Linked DNA regions of Oryctolagus cuniculus. The protein of the gene in region 1 interacts with the protein of each later gene in a pairwise test. Links are inferred from orthologs where the notes say so. Each region holds a gene or a part of one and is shown on either strand. Other genes may lie near its edges.

Region 1 (5,296 bases):
ATCAGTTCAGCTCTGACTTCTAAGCCTCACCATCAAACCCATTCTAAGAGCTCACTCATGCCAATGACTCAAGTCCTTCTTTTCTAGGGTCCCCTAATGACCACGTTCTTATTTCTACCTCACTGTGACTCCGCCACCTAGACGCTGACTTCAAACAAACAGTTCCCTTCCGTCAGTGTGTTTGCTCCCTAGGTTCCCGTTCCTTGGCTAGATCCTCACTTCTGCAGTCACGCAAACACAAGTCTGGCTCACAGCATCTTCCACGAACAGAGCAGTGGATACAGCATTGCACAGACTCAGCCACTTACATCTTCTGTGAGCAGAGGTTTGGCAAATTAACTTTCGTGAGCTTCCGTTTTTGAGTCTGTTGTCTGAACAACTGAATAAAATAATGAAAGTGCCCAGCACAGTCATGGAAGATAATGTTCCACTACTGCTTTTCTATCTCTATATCCCAACACCAAATTCTGATCTTCTTTCCTTCATATTCAACTCTCATATTTGCCTTCTCCTTTGAACTTTCAACTATTCCAATCAATGAACATGTTCCTAGACTGCCTGACCTCTAAGTACCTTTTCCGTATTCATAAGTTACATCATTTTATTTAATGACCAATCATATTTGCTTACTTCTCTTACATCTTAACCTTGATTCTCCAGCTCCAAAACATAAGTACCAAGTTCCCATTTCCTTCACACCAACCGTTCAGACTGGTGTTCAAGACCTTCCATGGATGAATTTCACTTTCCCATCAGCACCCTTCCAAAAGGCAAGTCACCGTGTGACATGGTCATGTTCCTTCCCCTGATGCGTGCTTATCTGAACAGGCTTAGAACAGTGCCCAGCACACAGTACAGTCTCAGTGCCTGGCAGCATTATGCCCAAGTCACCCTCACCTTCAGCTCTCACTACAACAGACTCTCTTCAAAGTGACAGGAGAGACTTCTGCAACTGTGTAGCCATCATTTCATATAATTTTCTTCTAGAGGACTCCACAAATCACATCAGCCTCAGGACTGCATCCAGCAAACATTGCTGTTACTACCACATCTGGAAGACAGGTTTTCGCCTTTTCTCTACCCTCATGCTTCCCCATTTAACCAACACAAAGCAGTGTGTTGCAAACTGCAGGAGAATCAGAGATTCCTATCACCAATAGCCCAGCAAGCACAAATTCAAGAGGAAAAACAAACAGTATTTTGACAAAGAATCAGAACCAAGTTACATATAAAATACTGTGAAAATTCAAAGAAAGGAAATCTGAAAGACTGACAAAGTGAGCAAAGGCTCCACGTAGTATCTGAGATGACAGAATCACTGTGGAGAAACTGAGGCCCAGGAGACCACCAGGCGCGGAACGTGCAGAAGCAGCTGAGATCTCGTTTATCTGAGCTTCAGCGGCCCAGGGCCTACTGAAGTGTGACTCTTTTCCCAATCATCATTCATCCTGTTACCTGTGATTACCATTCGGAATTATCACCTATCCAAGATTTCTGGAACTCTTAAATGAATCTGTAAGAAATACGCTGTATAGATATTTTCATGTATTCACGTCATCATATAGAAAAAAAAAACTCTTTGCACTAGTATATTTCTGATATCAATTTGCACACCCCATTCCAAATCCACTCCATTTGGGGGGATGAGGAATATAATGTATTGGGACTTTACATTATTCAACACAAGGAAAAGGGCAGATGCTGAGTTAACTCTTGTTTAAAATATCAGATAAATACAAAGGAATTAAACACATAATACATACGTAAAAACATGCACCTGATCAGTATACATAATCACTATAAAATGTCCTTGATTAAAAGCTTCCAGAAACACTACACGGAGCCATACTTAAATCTCAGCAAACTTCCCTTCACACAGCTCTTAACAAAAACACTAAAAGCTACATTCTGCGAGTCCACATACGCAGCAACAACCAGACCGGCAGTTACCTGCCGTCCACAGGAGCGGTCTGCGCATTTCCACGCCGAGGTCACGGCCCCCCATTTTCATATGTCCACTGTATTACTCCGCAGGAGTGCTGGTGACTTTTTCCACCAGCCACGGCACTCCACCTCTCTCCAAACAGGTCAAAAGGACAGTTTGTTTCACAGAATACTTAACCCTGCCACAGTACTGATATGGTAGTCTGCTGCTTATCTAAAGAGAAGTGATGCAACTACTGGAGACACTGAGAAGCGAAGAACTCACTTCGCAGACAGTCCCATCAGAAGTCTGCACCTTGCACACTGGGATTCACTCCAGACTCCCACACGACAAGACCATCTGACCACAGAGACCCCAGGGAGCGTCCCCGTACTGAACTCCGTCACCTGTCCACTGTGCTGTCACCACTCGCACACCAGCCTGCACACTGCTGCCAGCCTAGGCCCTTCCCCTCCAGCCTGCTAAAGGCGGTCACAAGGCCTAACGGGAAACACTTCCACCGACGACGTCCCAACGTCTCGCAGAGCCACGCGGGGCGATTCTGCACGTGACCCAGCATCAATCCACGACCAGCTGGTGAGGGGCCGGCTCTCCTCCGCTCAAGTCCACTGCCCAGCCGCTGCCACAGGTTCAACAGTCGCAGCGAGGGAAGTCGCAGCAGGCCGCGGGGCTGCGCGCACGGCGAACACGCGGAACGCGGAACCGCACACGCCGCGCGCGTCCCGAACGCCTTCCCCACCCACAACCCACGGCGAGCGGCTCCGACGGGGTCCCAGCCGCCGCGAACGTCCCGGCACCGTCACGTGCCCGTCCACGGGCTCTGCGCCGGGCGAGCACCCAAGTCCTCAGTCCTGGCTCACCGCGCGCCGGCCCGGAGGCGGGGTCCGACCCAGCCCAGGCCCGGCCCCGAGGCCGCGCGGGCAGCGCCGCCGGCCCACGGCGCGGAGGCGCCTCGCCCCCGGGCCGCAGGTGAGCCCGGGCGGGGCGCGGCCGCGCGCGCGCGCTCACCTTGCTCAGGACCCCGCAGCGCTCCACCGGCGGCCCGGACTCGGTCTCCGGGTCCTCCTCCGAGCCCGACGAGTTCCAGCTCTGGTTGTCCGACATGGAGGCGCGACGGCCGAGCGGGAGAGCGGCCCCGGCGGCCCGGCCTGCGCCGCAGCAGGCGCCCGGCGCCCGCGGACAGGGCTCTGGGGACGGCGAGGCGGCGGGCACACGCCCCGGCGCGGGGGGCGGCAGCAGCGGGGAAGCCCGCCCGCCGCGTCGCGGCCGCCGCGCCTGGCTCCGGGCGGAGCGGGGAAGGCGAACGAGCGGCGAGGGAAGCCCGCTCTTCCGCTTCTCGGCCGCCGCCGTGACCCTGCGCTGCGCCCGGCGCCGCCGCCCGGACCCGGCCGCTCGCTGCCACCTCGGACAGGGCGCGGGAGCGGCAGGGAGGACGAGCCCAGCCGCGGAGCGCGGGTCCCTCACGCCGCCGCCGCCGCCATCTTCCTGCCCAGCACTATTTACCCTCCCGCCCCTCCCCTGCCCCTCCCCGCCGGCTCCTCGGCTCCCGGCTCCCGCCCGCTCCCTCCCCGGCGTCTGACGCGCGGCGCCCAGGGCCCGGGTCCCCGCCGGCGACGCCGGGCCGGAAGTGCAGCGCGGGGGCGGGGCGGCGGCGCGCGGCGTTCTGGGCGGGGCGCGCGCGGCCTGCTGGGAGCTGTAGTCGGGGCGCGACGGCGGGTGAGTCGGCGGCGCGGGGACGCGGGGTCGGCGGGTGGGCGAGGCTGCGGTGAGGTGGCCGCGGCGGCGGGGACCCTCCGTGAGGACGCGGAGGGGCCGGCTGGTCGAGCGGGCGGGCTCCGGCGGCCGGGGCCGCGCCGGCCGTGGCGGGAGACTGGGTTTTGCTTTGAGGCGGTCGGGGAACGGGCGACGCCGCAGGGCTGTGCGTTGAGCCGCCTGTCCCCGGCGCCTGTTCGCCGTTTCCTGAGGGTCGCCGCTAGTCAGCGTCGTTATTAAGATGCGGAGCGCTCGCTGACTGCCGGGCTGGGCAGAGCCTCGGGGTCTGAGGGAGGAAGCGCGCGGCCCGGAACGACTGGTAGTGGCGAGAGGCGCGTGGGGACGCGCGGGACGGGCCGTGGGTCTTGCCCGGGCAGAGGCTGACAGCTGCGATGCTGTGGTGAAGTCGCGGTGGCGCGCGGAGGGCCTGCGAGAGGGGGCGTTTGGATCCCTCGGTCCTCGCGCTAACGCACGGGCCCGAGGCTGTCGTTCAAGAGCGAGAAAGGAGGACATTGACTTGGCGGTTGACGCCTCTTGGGTGGGTGGCGGAAAGTGCGCCTTCACCACGTTACGTTTCGCTCTGCCGTAGCCTGGAGATGGCCTGGTATGGCTAGACTTGCTATTTCTGGTTTTCTCAAGCGCTAGGTTTTTAAAATATCACTAAGTAAACGAATCATTGAGAGATTCACTTCATAATGCAGTTTAGACTCACAGGAGCGTACGTTTTAAATTGAACTTTCTGTGGTGTTTTATACCTTTTAAGGTTGTGTGTGGTTAGAACCACCAGCAGTTAGATCACTACGTTACCCACTTGGTAGGAAATTGCTTCATCGTATTTAGTATCAGTGTGAAAAAGTGCCTTTTTACAAAAAGGTTCTTAGTACATTTTTCCTTTGTAGTTAAACACTAAAGTGTTTTTAGGTACAGAAAGATTTTTGTGTAATGATTACAATCCCACATTAGAGGTTGGGGTTTACTTAATTACTGTCAATGGAAAGAAATTGTAGTACTGGGATATGTGAGCTTTCTTTGTTCATTTGGAGTGATAGCTGTTGAGTTTTCTTTCTCGCTTAGGGACTTCCCTGCCCAACCTCTGATAAATGCCACATATCTTCTCATTTTATTTAGTGTTTACTATTACAAGTTTTTGAGGAACTTCATTTTATTTTTAGAACATTGTGAAGAAATGGCATGTTTACGGTATTAACTATTTATGTTGTCTAGGTACTTTCAATATGTGAACTCATTCCTTAAAGATCATACACAGAGGGTAGGCATTTGGCCTAGCTGTTGGGACTTCCAAATCTCATGTCGGAGGACCTGGGTTTGTGTCCAGGTTCCGCTTCTGATTCCAGCTTCCTGATTATGTGCACCCTGGTGGGGGAGGGGGTCGTGGAATGTGATGACTTAAGTAGTCATGGGTCTCTGCTGTCCACATGGGAGCCTCCCCGGAACCTGGACTTCGCTCCAGCCCAGCCTCAACAATGGTAGGCATTTAAGGATTGAAACAGTGGATATGTATCTGTATCTCTCTCTGCCTGTCAAATCAAGAAAAGTAAATTTCAGTAAGTCATCCATAAGCATTGTAGGTTTCATTTT
Region 2 (4,606 bases), on another chromosome or scaffold:
TGGGCACACGGAACTGAGCCAGGACCTCGTCACGTGGCCCCGTCTAGGAGCCAGGGCCTCACACTGGGCTGTGGGGGGCGGGGGGCAGGGCACAGGCCCTGGCGGCCCTGGTGGTCTCTGTCCCTGCCCACATGCAGACTTTTTTCCGGCCCCTCCTCCCTGGCCAATAGGGGGCCTGCACGGCATGGTTGACAGTCCCCGGGAGGATGGGCACAGGTTCTGTGCCGAGGCTGGGCCGTGTCACCAAGGGAACTGGAGCATCCACGGAGCCTGGCGTGCACGGGGGACCCTGGAGGCAACTGAGGGCCAGCCTAGCTGTGTGCTTACCATCGGTGTCCCTGCCACAGCCGGTCCTCTCGAAACCAGAAACCTCGCTGACCCTCTCACCGCCACGTCCCCAGTGCCCGGGACCTGACGCGGAGCGCTGGAGGAGCGACAGGACGCGCCAGTGGAGGGACCTGAGGCTGCCGGCCCGGATCTGCCCTGCTCCCGGACCCCCTCAGCCTGGCCCCCGCAGGCTCACACCAGCCCTGTGGCGCCCCCATCCCCGCCCCCCATCCATCACAGAAGCCAGCACGGGTTCCAAACCAGATGTTTATTTGTGTATATAAAACAAGGCCCCAGGCGGGAAAGGCACCCCTCAGAGAGGACCCGGACCACACAGCCTGAAAGACTAGAACACTCAACTCCCCCCCTCCCCTATCAAAGCTGATCAGTTACTATTCGCTCTCGGCCCACTTAAAACCTAACCAACCGAGCCCAGTGGGATGACCCCAGGAAGGCGCCGGCGAACACAGGGTGGCTTCTAGGCACGGGGGAGGCCGGCCGACGGCCACGCCCACCCCCATAACGGAGCAGCTGGACGAGGCTTTCCCTGCACGGGGTCCAGGGCTGGCGCCCCATCCTCCCTCGGCCTGGAGCCCACTCTGCCAACAAGATAAAAACTCAGAGTCAAGAAACATCCAAAGCCAGCTAACTCTAACCCCGCCCCACCCCTGCCCCCTGCCCACCTCGTCCCCAGGCCCCTGGAGAGGCCACCGGCTCACACCCGGGCCCCCTCGTCATACTCCTCCCTGGTCATCCACTCCGACTTGTACGTGGACAGGTGGGCCATGAGCGACGCCCCGAGCCAGACGCTGAAATTCCTGTTGCTGCCCACCCAGAGCGTGGCCTTGGCGGAGGCGAAGTGCTCGGCCGACAGCTCCTTCTGCAGGCGCTTGGTGAAGCCGGGGTACAGCGTGTTCCCGCCGCAGGCCATGACGTGCGAGATGAGCTGCTCGTGCGTGGAGGCCTCGCACGTCTTGATGGACTCCACCACCATCTCCGGCACGCTGGGCCCCGGCAGGTCGAACACCTGCGGGCTGAAGAACATCTCGGGCGCCAGGCGCTGCATAGGCGTCAGCTCGGCGGACGTGCCGTCGGGCAGCAGGTAGGTGTTGCTCTCGTCCGCGCCGCTCGGCAGGCTCTGGCAGAAGTCCAGCGCCTCGCCCAGGTTCTGCGGCACGTAGCACTTGCCCATCTGCGTGCCGGTCACCGTATCCAGCTGGAAGAGGTTGTGCGGGTCGGAGTGCTCCTTGAAGATGCTCTTGCGGAGGTAGGCAGCGAGGTCCTGGCCGGCGAACTCCAGGGTCTTGCAGCTGGAGGGGGAGGTGCGGCCCAGGTGGAAGGGCTGCACGCGGGTCAGGCCATAGCCGGAGTCCAGCACGGTGCCGGTGAGCAGCCCCGAGGCGTACAGCGACATCTCCATCTGGTTGGCCAGCAGCAGGGCCGGGACATCGAGCAGCTCAAACATGACCTGCAGCCCGGAGGCGGGGGACACTCAGTGGGTCGCCCCCAAACCCAGGGCCCCGCGCCCGCCCTGGAAGCTGACATCCTGGCGGGGCGGGGATGGGGACTCTTGGGCTGTCCCTCGGGACGCTGGGACGGGGGACGGGGTTCTGCGGCTCGGGTGTGGGAATGTGGGAGGGGCTCTGGGGATGACAAGGAGGCGGGAGTGCTTGGCAGGGGGAGCCTTATCCTCTTCAGCAGAACCTCTCCAAAGATCAAGACAAACTGAACTGCCAGCCCCGCCCCGCCCCACAGCCCCACCCCTGCCAGCCCCGCCCCACCCCGCCCTGCAGCCCTAACCCCACCCCTGCAGCCCCGCCCCGCCCCGCCCCGCAGCCCCAGGCCCACGCCTGCCAGCCCTGCCCCGCCCCGCCCCGCGGCCCCAGGCCCACGCCTGCCAGCCCCGCCCCGCCCCGCCCTGCAGCCCTAGCCCCACCCCTGCAGCCCCGCCCCGCCCCGCAGCCCCAGGCCCACCCCTGCCAGCCCCGCCCCGCCCCGCCCCGCCCCACAGCCCCAGGCCCACCCCTGCCAGCCCCGCCCCGCCCCGCCCTGCAGCCCTAGCCCCACCCCTGCAGCCCCGCCCCGCCCCGCCCCGCAGCCCCAGGCCCACCCCTGCCAGCCCCGCCCCACCCCGCCCCGCAGCCCCAGGCCCACCCCTGCCAGCCCCGCCCCACCCCGCCCCGCAGCCCCAGGCCCACCCCTGCCAGCCCCGCCCCGCCCCGCCCCGCGGCCCCACCCCTGCCAGCCCCGCCCCATCCCGCCCCGCAGCCCCAGGCCCACCCCTGCCAGCCCCGCCCCGCCCCGCCCCGCGGCCCCACCTCCAGCGTCTTGCGCCGGTCCGCGGGCTCCTGCAGCGGGGTCTCGGTGACGATGACGGGGGCGTCCTCGTGCTCCTGCCTGTGCCGCTCCAGGACGAAGGACCAGATGTGCTCGACGCCCTCCCAGTTGAGGACACGGCCGCGCTCGACGGGGTAGCTGAAGGTGTCGGGGTGGCACAGGTCGACGCCCAGGCTCACGCGCCGCCGGGCGTAGCTGGGGCCAGGGTTCTCCCGGCACGGGATGTAGTTCACCACGCTCGGGAGGATCATCTGGGGCTCGTTCCAGCCGGACAGGCCGGCCTTCAGAAAGGCAGAGCCGTGGTCGATGACGATGGTTTTCCCGGCCATGGCTCAGGCACGCGGGGTCTCAGGATGCTTGGCAAACGAGGGGACCTGTGGGGGAGAGGCTGCGGGTTACCTGCCGGCCTTCCGCCCCCGCGCCGGCCACCGGGCCTCTGGGAAGCTTGGCCGATTACCCTGCCACGCCGTTGCGAGCAGTGCCGGGCCTGCCACGCTCTCCCCGTGCCTAACTCATCCTAGGAATCCCGCGCTGCGGCCACCTGCCCACTGCACTCCTCCCACTGCCCCAGGGCAGAGGCCGCGGGGAAGGTCTCTCTAGAGACTCAGCGAGATCCAGGGCGCGGGAAGGGCCTGGCAGCTGCTGGCTGCCCGCTTAGACGGCACGGGAATGCGGGCGGCACCGCTGCGGGCCAGCGGCTAGCGACCAGCAGGCGGGGTGACGGCCGGAGCGGCCTTTGCCGGGCACAGACCCTCTCCCCACTCCGGGAGGGACATTTTGCATATGAGATCGAGCTGTGGGAAACTCATTTGTGCTGGCCAAAAATGGCCGGGCATCAGCAGGAACACAGGAACGCAGCCCGTCTCCCCCACAGCCTACAGGGCAGGGGCCATCCTTGCACCCATCTTACAGATGGGGAGATCGAGGCTCAAGGGTTAAATTACCTTCCCAGCCCTTATAACCAACAAGGGCAGGGCAGGGGCACACACTGAACAGCAGGCAGATGTCGCTTGGGGGTGGGGGTAGGGATTACACCTTCACTTATTTGAAAATCAAAGAGACAGATGGGGATCTTCCATCTGCCGGTTCACTCCCCAAATGACTGTAACAGCAGGGCTGGGCCAGGCCAACGCCAGGAGCCAGGAGCCAGGAGCCAGGAGCCAGGAGCTCCATCCGGGTCTCCCGCACGGGCGGCAGGGACTCATGCTAGAGTCATCAGCGCTGCCGCCCAGGGTGTACTGGCAGGAGCCAGGATCAGGAGCGGGGCAGGGATGGGACCCAGGCGGTCCAAGCACCCCAAACAGTACCATGCCTACAACTCCAGACGCCCACCCCAGGAATTAGGTTTTGAATATGAACTAAGCAGCTTATTTTTTTAAATATTATTTATTTGAAAGACAGTTATAGAGAGGCAGAGAAAGAGAGAGAAAGAGAGAGGTCTTCCATCTGCTGGCTCGCTCCCCAGATGGCCACAACAGCCAGAGTTACACCGATCTGAAGGTAGGAGCCAGGAGCTTCTTCTGGGTCTCCCACGTGAGTACAGGGGCCCAAGGACCTGGGCCATCTTCTACTGCTTTCCCAGGCCATAGCAGAGAGCTGGATCGAAAGTGGAGCAGCCAGCACTAAAACCGGCGCCCATATGGGATGCTGGCACTGCAGGTGGTGGCTTTACCTGCTACGCCACAGCACTGGCCCCAGCAGCTAATTTATCATATAAAGGAGACTCCAAGCACAATGCCTCCCCATGGTGGTGATCAGTTTGCCTGTCAGCGCAGTGGGGTGATGCTCACCCCCACGCAGAGGAAAGGCTGCGTCACTGCCCCAAGTCACTGCCTGACGCCCGATGCGCCATGAACAGCAGCAGCTGAGAGTCAAAGAACCCTCACAGTCCCCAGGGATCTACAGAGAACGGAATCCAGACAGGGATTTGCGCCAAGGAGCT
Region 3 (4,606 bases), on another chromosome or scaffold:
AACCAACGGAAAAAGGAAGACCTTTCTGTCTCTCTCTCTCACTGTCCACTCTGCCTGTCAAAAAAAAAAAAAAAGAAGAAGAATGTGGAGGCTTGGGAAGGTTAAAGTGATGTAGTTAGAAATACCACAACTCAAGCCCCTGTGTCTCTAGCTACAAAGCCCTTCTTCGGCCAAGTAAGGGAGCTCGCAGTAGGGCTGTTAGTGCCGACATGTCCTTTTAATGGACTGAAGTGCAAATTCAACTTCCTGACGTAATTGTTAATAGTGCCCTCACTTTCAGAAGCATTATGGTTTAGATAATTGTATGATTTCCTACCCATCATCCTTCCTGGCTTCTCCTCAGACTAACACGGAAACTGATGTTTCGCTGTAACTGATGCTGATAGAGGCTGGTCTGTTTTCCTTCACTTCCCAGTTGCCTGCAACAGCCAGGACTAGGCCAGACTGAGGCCAGGGGCTGGGAACTCCAGCTGGGTAGCCCACATCCCAGTTTGCGCATTTTAATTTAGCTTTGATAAGTGAGATATGCCTGGATCTGTGCCCCAGGTGCTCCCGGAGCTGGGGAGCAGTCCTGGCCTGGTGGCTGGCAGCTGTTCTTATAACCTCCTTTCCTTTTTCCTTTGGCAGTGCACGATCTGATTTTCTGGCGAGACGTGAAGAAGACTGGCTTTGTCTTTGGCACCACGCTGATCATGCTGCTCTCCCTGGCAGCCTTCAGCGTTATCAGTGTGGTTTCTTACCTCATCCTGGCTCTTCTGTCTGTCACCATCAGCTTCAGGGTCTACAAGTCTGTCATCCAAGCTGTGCAGAAGTCAGAAGAAGGCCATCCGTTCAAGTGAGTTGGAGTATCTCGAGTGACACTGCATGTTGTAGCAGAGGGGTTTGCTGAGGCTGATTAGGTCCAAAACTTGACCTAGCTACACATGAAGAATTACTGGGTCCAGTACAGCTGAGCAGGGGTGTGAACCCCCAGTTAGAGACCTTGAGGTCTTCTTAGAAGCAGCTGAATTAGGAAGTAAGAACTTTTTGACAAACTAGAGACTCACATGTCGAGTCCAAAAAGGACTTGACATTTCTGGGCAGGGTAGGGAAAGCAGAGCGCCAGGGACAGCACTCAGATGGCGTCCCAGGCACGTGGGGATGCCCCAGATAGGTAAGTCTTGAAGCGACTTTGAAATCTTGCTGTTGAGGCCTTGCTCTTAGTGGTACCGGAACCCAGGCTGGTTACTCCTGGTCTTCCTCCTCATTTTCTCCTTAGCGCTTTACTTTGCTTGATACCACAGGCAGGTCGGCGGGTCCCGCACGTCTAAGACGTGATTCTAGCTTCTCTGGGTGTGCTCTCACTTTCACATTACGTGTTTTTCATGCTTTTCCTCTGCAGAATGTTGGGCCACAGAAAATGTTTACATTATAGTAGCAGCTGATGGAGTTTTTTTTAATGCTTTTATTTTAATTTTTAATTGTTTTTTAACACACAATATTTGTAGATAACAACTCTAAGAACATAATTATATTCCCTTCCTCTCTCCTTCTTATCCTTTTTTTAATTTAGTTTTTGAGGTAACATTTTAAATTTATGTTACAGTGAAAAGGTTTATTACTTCACCAAATAAGAGATTTAACAAGTAAAAAACAAAAAGACCTTAGTTTAGTGGGAACATAGATAATGGCTATAAATAATAATTGAATGGAAAAATGACCATGTCACCCATATACAGTAAATTTTAAAGTAATCACAGATCATTAAAACTATAGTAGTATAATATTCTTAACCATTGGTTTGACAAAGGTATAAAACAGGGTTTTACAAAACTATATTTGCAGCAATACTGGATCACACAGACATTTCTTTGTTTTGTTTTGTTTTGTTTTTGTTTGTTTGTTTTTAAGTTTTAGCTCCCACACATAGGGGAGAACATGCAGTATTTGTCTTTCTGGGTCCAGCTTACATCACTCAACATAATGTTCTCCAGTTGCATCCATTTTGCTGCAAATGGTAGAATTTCAGTCTTTTTATGGCTGAATAGTATTCCATTGTGTATATAAACCACACTTTCCTTATCCATTCATCTGATGGTGGACGCCTTGTTGGTTCCAAATCTCAGCTATTGGGATCAGTGCTGCTATAAACACTGTAGTTCAAGTATCTCTTGATACATTGTGTTCAAGTCTTCTGGGTATATACACAGGAGTGGGATTCCTGGATCATACGGCAAGTCTGTTCCTAGTTTTTCAAGAAATCTCCACACTGTTTTCCACAGTGGCTGTCCTAATTTACATTCCCACCAATGGTGAATAAGTGTTTCCCTTTGTGTCCTTGCCAGCATTTGTTACTTTCTGGATTTTAGCCATTCTGACCGGGGTGAGGTGATACCTCATTGTGGTTTTGATTTGCATTTGTCTGATGGCTACTGATTTTGATCATTTTTTCATATATTTGTTGGTCATTTATTTGTGAACCACCTATCCAACAAAAGATTAATATCCTGCATACATCAGCAACTTAAAAAACTCCACAACAAAAAGCAACCAGTCCAGTTGACAGTTTTTTAAAAGGCTTTTTCACAGAGAAGGAACCCCTCCTGTGACCTCTGAGGACTACAGCCGAACAGGTTTCTGGCTGCTGCTCTGGCCCTTGTATTTTCTCTTGGTGAAAATAAACATAAACCATATATGTGACATTGCAAAATAGAGCACCTAAAAGGTCATCTATAGAAGTGAAATTGACACTGCAAGATGGGATGACTTTGAACAGCCCTTGCCTCGACTGTTCAGGAACAAGGTTTTATTTTTTCATACAATTTGTTGCACTCTTTACTTAGTGTATAGTTGATCTTATGTGTATAAAGTTAATTGAAAATGGATCTTAGTAAAAAATAAGAATAGGAACAGGAGAGGGAGGAGGGAGAAGGGTGGGAGTGGGTACGGTGGGAAGAATCACTGTGTTCCTGAAGTTGTATTTATGAAATGCGTGAAGTTTGGACGTGAAGTTTGGATACCTTAAATCAAAGGTTTCTGGGAGGAAAGAAAGAACATGTATTGCCAATTAGTTTTAACAAATCAGTAGTTATCAAATGAATGAGCAAATAAATTATAGTGTTTTTCAGCAAGCGCAGGTATCTTAATCCCCCCCTCCCCCCCGCTTTTGCATGACACTGGAGGCTTAACCACGTTTGTCTACTCAGTTGTAGTAACTACAACCTCTGGTTTTTAAAACTCTTTGGTTGGTAGTAAATATTCTCTTGATCGGAAGGGAAGTATGTCTGTCACTATTCTGTTTCCCCACAAGACTGTGAGCCTCTTAAGGCAAAAACAGTCTTCACCTGTTTGACATCCCAGCACCGAGCAGTCTCTGCCAGGCAGCAGGCACCCAGTACACGCTGAGTGTATGGGCAGGTCAGCAGCGCATGGGACCTCTGGGACAGAACTGGGGCCTCGGGTTTGGTGTGGTTTTCAGAACCTGTCAGACCCCACATCTCCACCCTCCTGGTTTGTCAACAAATGTTGTTCTGCCTCCTTATCATATAGAACTGTATGAAATGAAGTTCATATAGAAATTAAATTCATAAGTAGTGTAATCTATCTACATTTTAAATAAATAGGTCAATTATAACAGAAAGATGTGATAACAGAAAGCATTTGTAAGGTGTTTCAGTCAGTATTCAATTACTTGGACATGACAATACCAAAAATATATAATGAATAAGTCATAAACTTGTACCTGCATGTATAATCACCAATAAGATGTAATTTTCCAAAACAGTAAAAAACTTTATTTTAAAAAAATTTAATGTAAGTTTTATCATAGAAATATTTTTAGAAAATTCAGGATGTGTTGTAAATATGGAGAAAATGACTGTATGTGTTCTGGGTTCTGAGCTGTAAGTCAGTTCACCTTCCTGAGGCGGCAGCTGTGCCACAGAGTGCAGGGCAGCTGGTTGCCGTCGTGCCTGTCCTGTCCCATGCAGACGTCCGCCCTCCTTTCCTCCTAACCGACAGTAGCGTTTCCTTCCCACGGCAGCCAGAAATGTCCCTTCAGGTCTGGAAAGCACTGCCTAGGGCTGCTGTGCTGACAGAAAATCTTTTTCCGTGTCAAACGTGTGACTGTTGTTTCTTCCTTGGGAAGAGCCTACCTGGATGTGGACATCACCCTGTCCTCAGAAGCCTTCCACAATTACATGAATGCCGCCATGGTGCACATCAACAGGGCTCTGAAACTCATCATTCGTCTCTTCCTGGTGGAAGATCTGGTTGACTCCTTGAAGGTCAGTCACATGTGCAGGTTCTGGTGGTATTGCTGAGAAAACTCGGTAGGTTTCCTGCCCCCCATGCAGGGTTATGGCCAACCCCTCTATAATAAAAGGTCAACAAGACAGAAGCATGACAGATGCATTTGATTATAGTTTTTCGTGACATGGGAGCCTTCAGAATGAAGACTGAGAGACCCAGGATGGTTTCTCCATCCTTATGCTTGTGTTCACTGAAGCTGGGACAGCTATGTTGAGTAAAGAGATTGGACCAAAAAAGGCCTATTAAACAAAGGTCAGAAGGTTTTTAAAAAATAACCAATTTATTTGAAAGTCAGAAAGAGCTCTTCCATCTTCCA
Region 4 (5,392 bases), on another chromosome or scaffold:
CGCCCCCATGGCCCCGCCCTCCCCAGCCCCGGGCCAAGCCCACGGCCCCGCCCCCACGGCCCCGCCCTCCCCAGCCCCGGGCCAAGCGCAGGCCCCGCCCCCATGGCCCCGCCCTCCCCAGCCCCGGGCCAAGCGCAGGCCCCGCCCCCATGGCCCCGCCCTCCCCAGCCCCGGGCCATGCGCAGGCCCCGCCCCGCCCCGCCCCCCGCACCAGCTGGATGGCGATCATGAGCACGGTCTTGAGCGTGAAGGTGCGGTCGCACAGGTCGAACAGGTCCTCCAGGCTGGGCCCCAGCAGCTCCAGCACCATGGCGTTGTACTTGCCGCACGGGCCGAAGTAGTACACCTGCGGGACACCCTCTGCGGGCAAGCGCGGCGTGGCGGGCGGTGCCTGCGGCCGGCCCGGCCCGGCCACGCCCCCAGCCCCCGGCCCCGCCCCCGGCCACGCCCCCAGCCCCGCCCCCGGCCCGCCCCGCCCCGCCCGCCTACCTGCCGTGCTCAGCTGCTTGTAGAAGCGGTACTCCAGGTGCAGCTGCGGCGCCCGGGACTTGATGGGCTCCTGGGGAGGGGCGGGGCGGGCGCCGTGAGGCAGCGGCCGGGCCCAGGCCTGACGCTTGTAGTGAACGGGGGGGGGGGGGGGGCGCACTCACCAGTTTGATGGCCACGTACTCGTTCGTGTACAGATTCTTCCCTGCGGGACAGAGGCGCGGTCAGGGCGGCAGGCCCGGCCCGGCCCCAGGCGGACCGGCGGGAGCCACCAGCGACCCCGCCCTGGGTCGGAGGCCCGACAGGACAGCCGTGCACACCTGCCCCGGCCGGCGCAGCCCCGGCTTGGCCAGCACAGCCGGGCGGGGACAGGGCAGAGCCTCGGCGGGGCAGCCTCGCTCCAGTGCCTGCCCAACAGGCGGGAGGCAAGGGCGCGCCCCCCGCCCGCCCCGGGCGCCCCGAGGCCCAGGCCGCCCAGCCCTGGTGCGTAAGAGCCTGTGCGTCTTCACGCGGCTTCGCGCCATGGCGACGCCGACCCAGCTCCCGTGGGCCCCCCGAGGCCACCTCCCATCACAGCGCACGGCGCGGGGCTCCGGTCCCAGAGGTGCTGGCTGCGCTGGCCCGCGGGGCCCCGCTCTCCAGGGCCACGCACAGCTCGCCCGGCTTCGGCTCGGGCTGTGACCGTCCCCGCGGGCCTGCCCCGGCTTCCTCCCGCTCCAGGCCGCACAAGGCGCGCGCACAGGACCTCAGCCCCGGGGACACCCAGGCTCTGCGTGCCCCGAGAGGCAGAGCGCTGCCAGCGCTGGTTTGCTCCCCAAATGCCTGCGACAGGCAGGGCTGGGCCAGGCCGAAGTCCCGTGTGGGCCCCGTCGGGTCTCCCGTGTGGGTGCCAGGGGCCCCAGCGCCTGGGCCTTCGCGGCTGCCCCGGGGCTGCGCATGCGCAGGGCGCGCGGTGGGACCCGAAGGTCTACAGGGCTGGCGGTGAGCCTGGGGCAGTGCACCTGCGGCCGCCGGGACGCCCGGGCGCCTCCGCGCGTGCTGGGCCGCGGCCTCGCCCCAAGCCTTGTCCAGGCGTTGACGCGTCCCTATGGACGGCTGCCAGCGACCCCGGCCTGCGGCTGGCGCGCCCCCCGTGACCCGGCTGCGCCTCTCTGCCCGCCGGTCCTGCATTTGGCCACAGCGTCGCCCGTCTCCGCGGGGCAGCCCGGCAGGAGCTCGGCTCTGGGCTCCCGGCCTCACGCAGGCCCCGTGGGCGAGAGGGGCGGCGGGGCCTCGTGGGGACACTGCGAGGGCTGAGAGCCCCGGAGCCGGCCGCGGGGCTGGAGACCGCCCTGAGCCACGGGGTTCACGCTGGGGCTGTGCGGGAGCCACCCCGCGGCGAGACGGGGAGCGCGGGGGGCTCCAGGGAAGCCGGAGTCAAAGGGGAAGTTTACTTTGGTGCAAAAAAGCTAGAATTCAGGCTGGCGTGTTCCCAGCCTGCTCCGGCTCAAGCCAGCCCCGCCCCGGGGCTCCCAGCTCCCTCCAGGTAAACGAGCCGGGACCCCGGGTGTGGACTGGAAGGAGCCATCACTTCAAACTCGCTCAGGACTTAAGCCTCTCTCCCTCGCTGCCTTCCGACGCATACAGACAGACATAGAGACAGACAGACAGACAGAGACGGACATACATACAGAAACATGCACACATAGACATGCATACAGACAGACATGCGTACAGACGGACGGACACACATAGACATACATAGATACATACATACAGACGGACATACATATAGACATACAGACACACAGACATGCACACATACATAGACACGCATACATACAGACATGCATACAGACGGACGGACAGACGGACACAGGCAGCCTTAACTGAAGCCCCGCCCAACGTCCGAGTGCGAGACGGCCTGGAGTGCAGCGACTGCCCCGTCGCGGCGGCTGAGCGGGTCCCGGGGGCGGTCAGCGGCCCCGGGGCAGCACGCGCGCATCGCCTGGGCCCAGCTGCAGCCCACGCACCTGGACAGGTGGCCACGCGGTGGCTCCCGGGCTGGCCGCTGGGCTCACCCGGGGAGCGAACCGGAAGGAAGCCATGACCCTAAAGCCACACCGCGGGGCGGCCGTCGCCGCGTGCCGGCTCCGGCCCAGTCCTGGCCGCCGCGGTCCGTTTGGGGAGGGGACCAGTGATGAAGATTTTTCTCTATCGTTCTGCCTTTCAATAAATACATCTCAAACATCTGGAATTTTAATTAAAAGCAGACCGTGCCTAAACCCCGCACACTCTGAAACCAAGGGCACAATGTGGAGGACGGGGACGGGAGACGCTGCGCCAGGAGGGGCTCGGGAGGGGCCGCGGGCAGCGCCGGCACCCACGGGACACCTGCCGGCCCGAGCTGAGAGCCTGCTCGCGGGGCCGCGCACTCCTGGCCAGGACGCCGGCCACCCCGGGAGCTCCCCCAGGCCCACGCCAGCCCGCTCACCCGCACCTGCCAGGCAGCCCACCAGGCTTCAACCGCACGCCCTGTTCAGGTGGGGCAGGCGGGAGGGAGGCAGGGAGCGCCAGAACTCACACCGGACACCGCCGGAGCTGACCAGGGCAGGCCTCTGCCCCTGCCCCCCGCCCCCCGCCCCCCGGGGCGCACTCCAAGTCCCGCCCGCGCCCCGGTCCCCGCCGGCCGCCGCGCGGGGCTCACCTAGGCGAAGCTCCCCGAAGTTGCCACAGCCTATCTTCTTGCCGACTCGGAAGTTGGGGCCCACCATCAGGACCCCCGAGCTGGCCCCCGAGGTGCGCGCGCTGTGGCTGCTCCGGGCCCCGCCGCTCCTGGACATCCTCCGGCCCTCTTCCAACTCCCCTCTCCCTCCTTTCTTGTCCAAATCCATAAGTTTGTGGTACCCTGGCCTCTCCACGGTGACTGCCACACCAACGCCAAGGCTGCGGACGGCTGAGGCGCGGGCTCGCGGCGGCTACCACAGCCCCGCGCCGGCGGGCACGCGCACCCTCGCGGGCCCGGCCGTGGCGCGCATCTCGGTGGTCTCAGGGTGGCTCTCGGGCACAGGAGACATGCTGCTGGCGGTCCCGGCACCTCAGATCTCGTGGCCCCCAGCTGCGGAGAGACAGGCACAGGGTAAACCCAGGGCCCGCGGCCACCTGACCGGGGAGGGGCGGGGCAGCCGGGCACCGAGCCGCAGGGGTGCCCTGGCCGGGCGGTTTTCCCAGCAGCCACTGGGGGTCGTGGGGCTGAGGGCAGCGGGCGAGTCTAGGAGGGACGGTGGGGCACAGCCAGAGGGGAGGGGTCCGGCACTCAGCGCAGGGCCTGGGACGGCCGGGACCCCACCCTCGGCCCCCCTCCTGAACCCGGCCACTGTCCGTGTCCTCGGCCGGGAAACCCCACAGGTGGGAAGCCCGGCGCAGGCTGCACCCACCACTGGCCTTTGGCAGAGCAGTGCGCACGGGCCCTGTGCAGAGCCGCCGGGAGCCGCGCCCCTGCTCCCGCCCGGCCGTCCCGCCCCTGCTCCCGCCTCGGGCCGTGCCCCCCCATCCAGCCTCTCCTGCTCCGCCCCCGTCCCCACCGTCAGAATCAGCCCGGGAGGCACCAGCCTGGCCAGCGAGAAGGCGAAGGATCCCCGGGACGAGGACCCCCCTCCCCGGCACGAGGACCCCCGCAGGACGAGGACCCCCGCCCCCCAGCCGGCCCCAGCTGCTCCGCCCCCCAGCCGGCCCCCAGCTGGGGCTTCGGGAGCGCTGGGCGTGGCACTGAGCAGAGACCGGTCCGGGGGAGGCAGGGAAGGCGCCCCCATCCGCCATCCGCCAGTGCGCACCTGTCTGCGTGGGCTTCCCCAGCCGCCAGGGTCTACCACGGCCCCACCCCCACGGCCACTCGGCCCACCCTGCTGGGCCAGCAGAGCCGGCCGGGGGCCGCGGCAACCCAGCTGCCCCACTGCCCAGGGCCCCCAGACAGCAGACTCCTGGGTCCCGCCTCCCCTCGCCTGACGGAGGAGCCGCCCCAGCGCGGGGAGACACGCCAGGGCCCCCACGTGCAGGTCAGCAAAGCGTCCACTCCACCCCCAGCTGCCCCCAGCCCTGGGGTCCACCCACGGCGTCTGCGGGAGGCGGGACGAGCTGCAGGCAGCAGCCCCAGGCCAACGCGCCCCCCCCACAACCCCCCCCAGCCTCCACCATGTGTCCAGCCGGCCACCGCCCTCCCCGTCTCCCGGGCCCTGCCGTGTCCTGGGGCCGTACCCAGCAGGGCTGACTGGGCTGGGCCCCCAGTGCCTCCCTCTCCGGAGGACGCCCAGCCCCCACCTGCCCACCATCTGGGAGACCTCCCAGGTGGCGCTGCCCGGGTCCCACACTCAGCAAGTGTGCGGACAGCCAGCCTGGGGCCATCCCCGAGAGCCAGCACCTACAGCCACGGCCTAGAGGTGCACACCCAGACCAGGCCTCGCACACCCAGGGCAGGGCCTCGCACACCCAGGGCAGGGCCTCCACACCCAGGGCAGGGCCTCGCACACCCAGGGCAGGGCCTCCACACACAGGCCAGACCTCGCACACCCAGGGCAGACCTCCCTCACACACGCAGGCCAGACCTCGCACACCCAGGACAGGGCCTCCACACCCAGGGCAGACCTCCCTCACACACGCAGGGCAGACCTCGCACACCCAGGCAGGGCCTCCACACGCAGCCCAGGCCTCGCACACCCAGGCAGGGCCTCCACACGCAGCCCAGGCCTCGCACACGCAGGCCAGGGCCTCGCACACCCAGGGCAGGGCCTCGCACACCCAGGCCAGGCCTCGCACACCCAGGCCAGGGCCTCCACACGCAGGCCAGACCTCCCACACCCAGGGCAGGCCTTCGCACACCCAGGGCAGGCCCTCACACACCCAGGCCAGGCCTTCGCACACCCAGGGCAGG

What was found.
Region 2: the proteins of CERT1 (region 1) and ACTL8 interact in binary tests that used the Homo sapiens proteins (3 or more experiments, as listed by UniProt). The two-hybrid records come from large-scale screens. The link is inferred for Oryctolagus cuniculus from reciprocal best matches to the Homo sapiens genes CERT1 and ACTL8.
Region 3: the proteins of CERT1 (region 1) and RTN3 interact in binary tests that used the Homo sapiens proteins (3 or more experiments, as listed by UniProt). The link is inferred for Oryctolagus cuniculus from reciprocal best matches to the Homo sapiens genes CERT1 and RTN3.
Region 4: the proteins of CERT1 (region 1) and CSNK1G2 interact in binary tests that used the Homo sapiens proteins (3 or more experiments, as listed by UniProt). The two-hybrid records come from large-scale screens. The link is inferred for Oryctolagus cuniculus from reciprocal best matches to the Homo sapiens genes CERT1 and CSNK1G2.

The regions. Positions count from the first base shown.
Region 1 is NC_091445.1:574,635-579,930, forward strand, and holds the start of CERT1 (ceramide transfer protein), read right to left. Parts: upstream 3,427-5,296; 5' UTR 3,050-3,426; coding exon 2,954-3,049; intron 2,915-2,953; exon of another isoform or gene 2,559-2,914; intron 2,522-2,558; exon of another isoform or gene 2,385-2,521; intron 1-2,384. UniProt on the Homo sapiens protein: Shelters ceramides and diacylglycerol lipids inside its START domain and mediates the intracellular trafficking of ceramides and diacylglycerol lipids in a non-vesicular manner.
Region 2 is NC_091438.1:152,535,449-152,540,054, forward strand, and holds the end of ACTL8 (actin-like protein 8), read right to left. Parts: intron 3,039-4,606; 5' UTR 2,994-3,038; coding exon 2,646-2,993; intron 1,796-2,645; coding exon 1,043-1,795; 3' UTR 587-1,042; downstream 1-586.
Region 3 is NC_091432.1:7,441,888-7,446,493, reverse strand, and holds part of RTN3 (reticulon-3), read left to right. Parts: intron 1-627; coding exon 628-835; intron 836-4,126; coding exon 4,127-4,265; intron 4,266-4,606. UniProt on the Homo sapiens protein: May be involved in membrane trafficking in the early secretory pathway. Inhibits BACE1 activity and amyloid precursor protein processing. May induce caspase-8 cascade and apoptosis.
Region 4 is NC_091447.1:58,971,284-58,976,675, reverse strand, and holds the start of CSNK1G2 (casein kinase I), read right to left. Parts: upstream 3,512-5,392; 5' UTR 3,360-3,511; coding exon 3,173-3,359; intron 692-3,172; coding exon 651-691; intron 560-650; coding exon 212-559; intron 1-211. UniProt on the Homo sapiens protein: Serine/threonine-protein kinase. Casein kinases are operationally defined by their preferential utilization of acidic proteins such as caseins as substrates. It can phosphorylate a large number of proteins. Participates in Wnt signaling.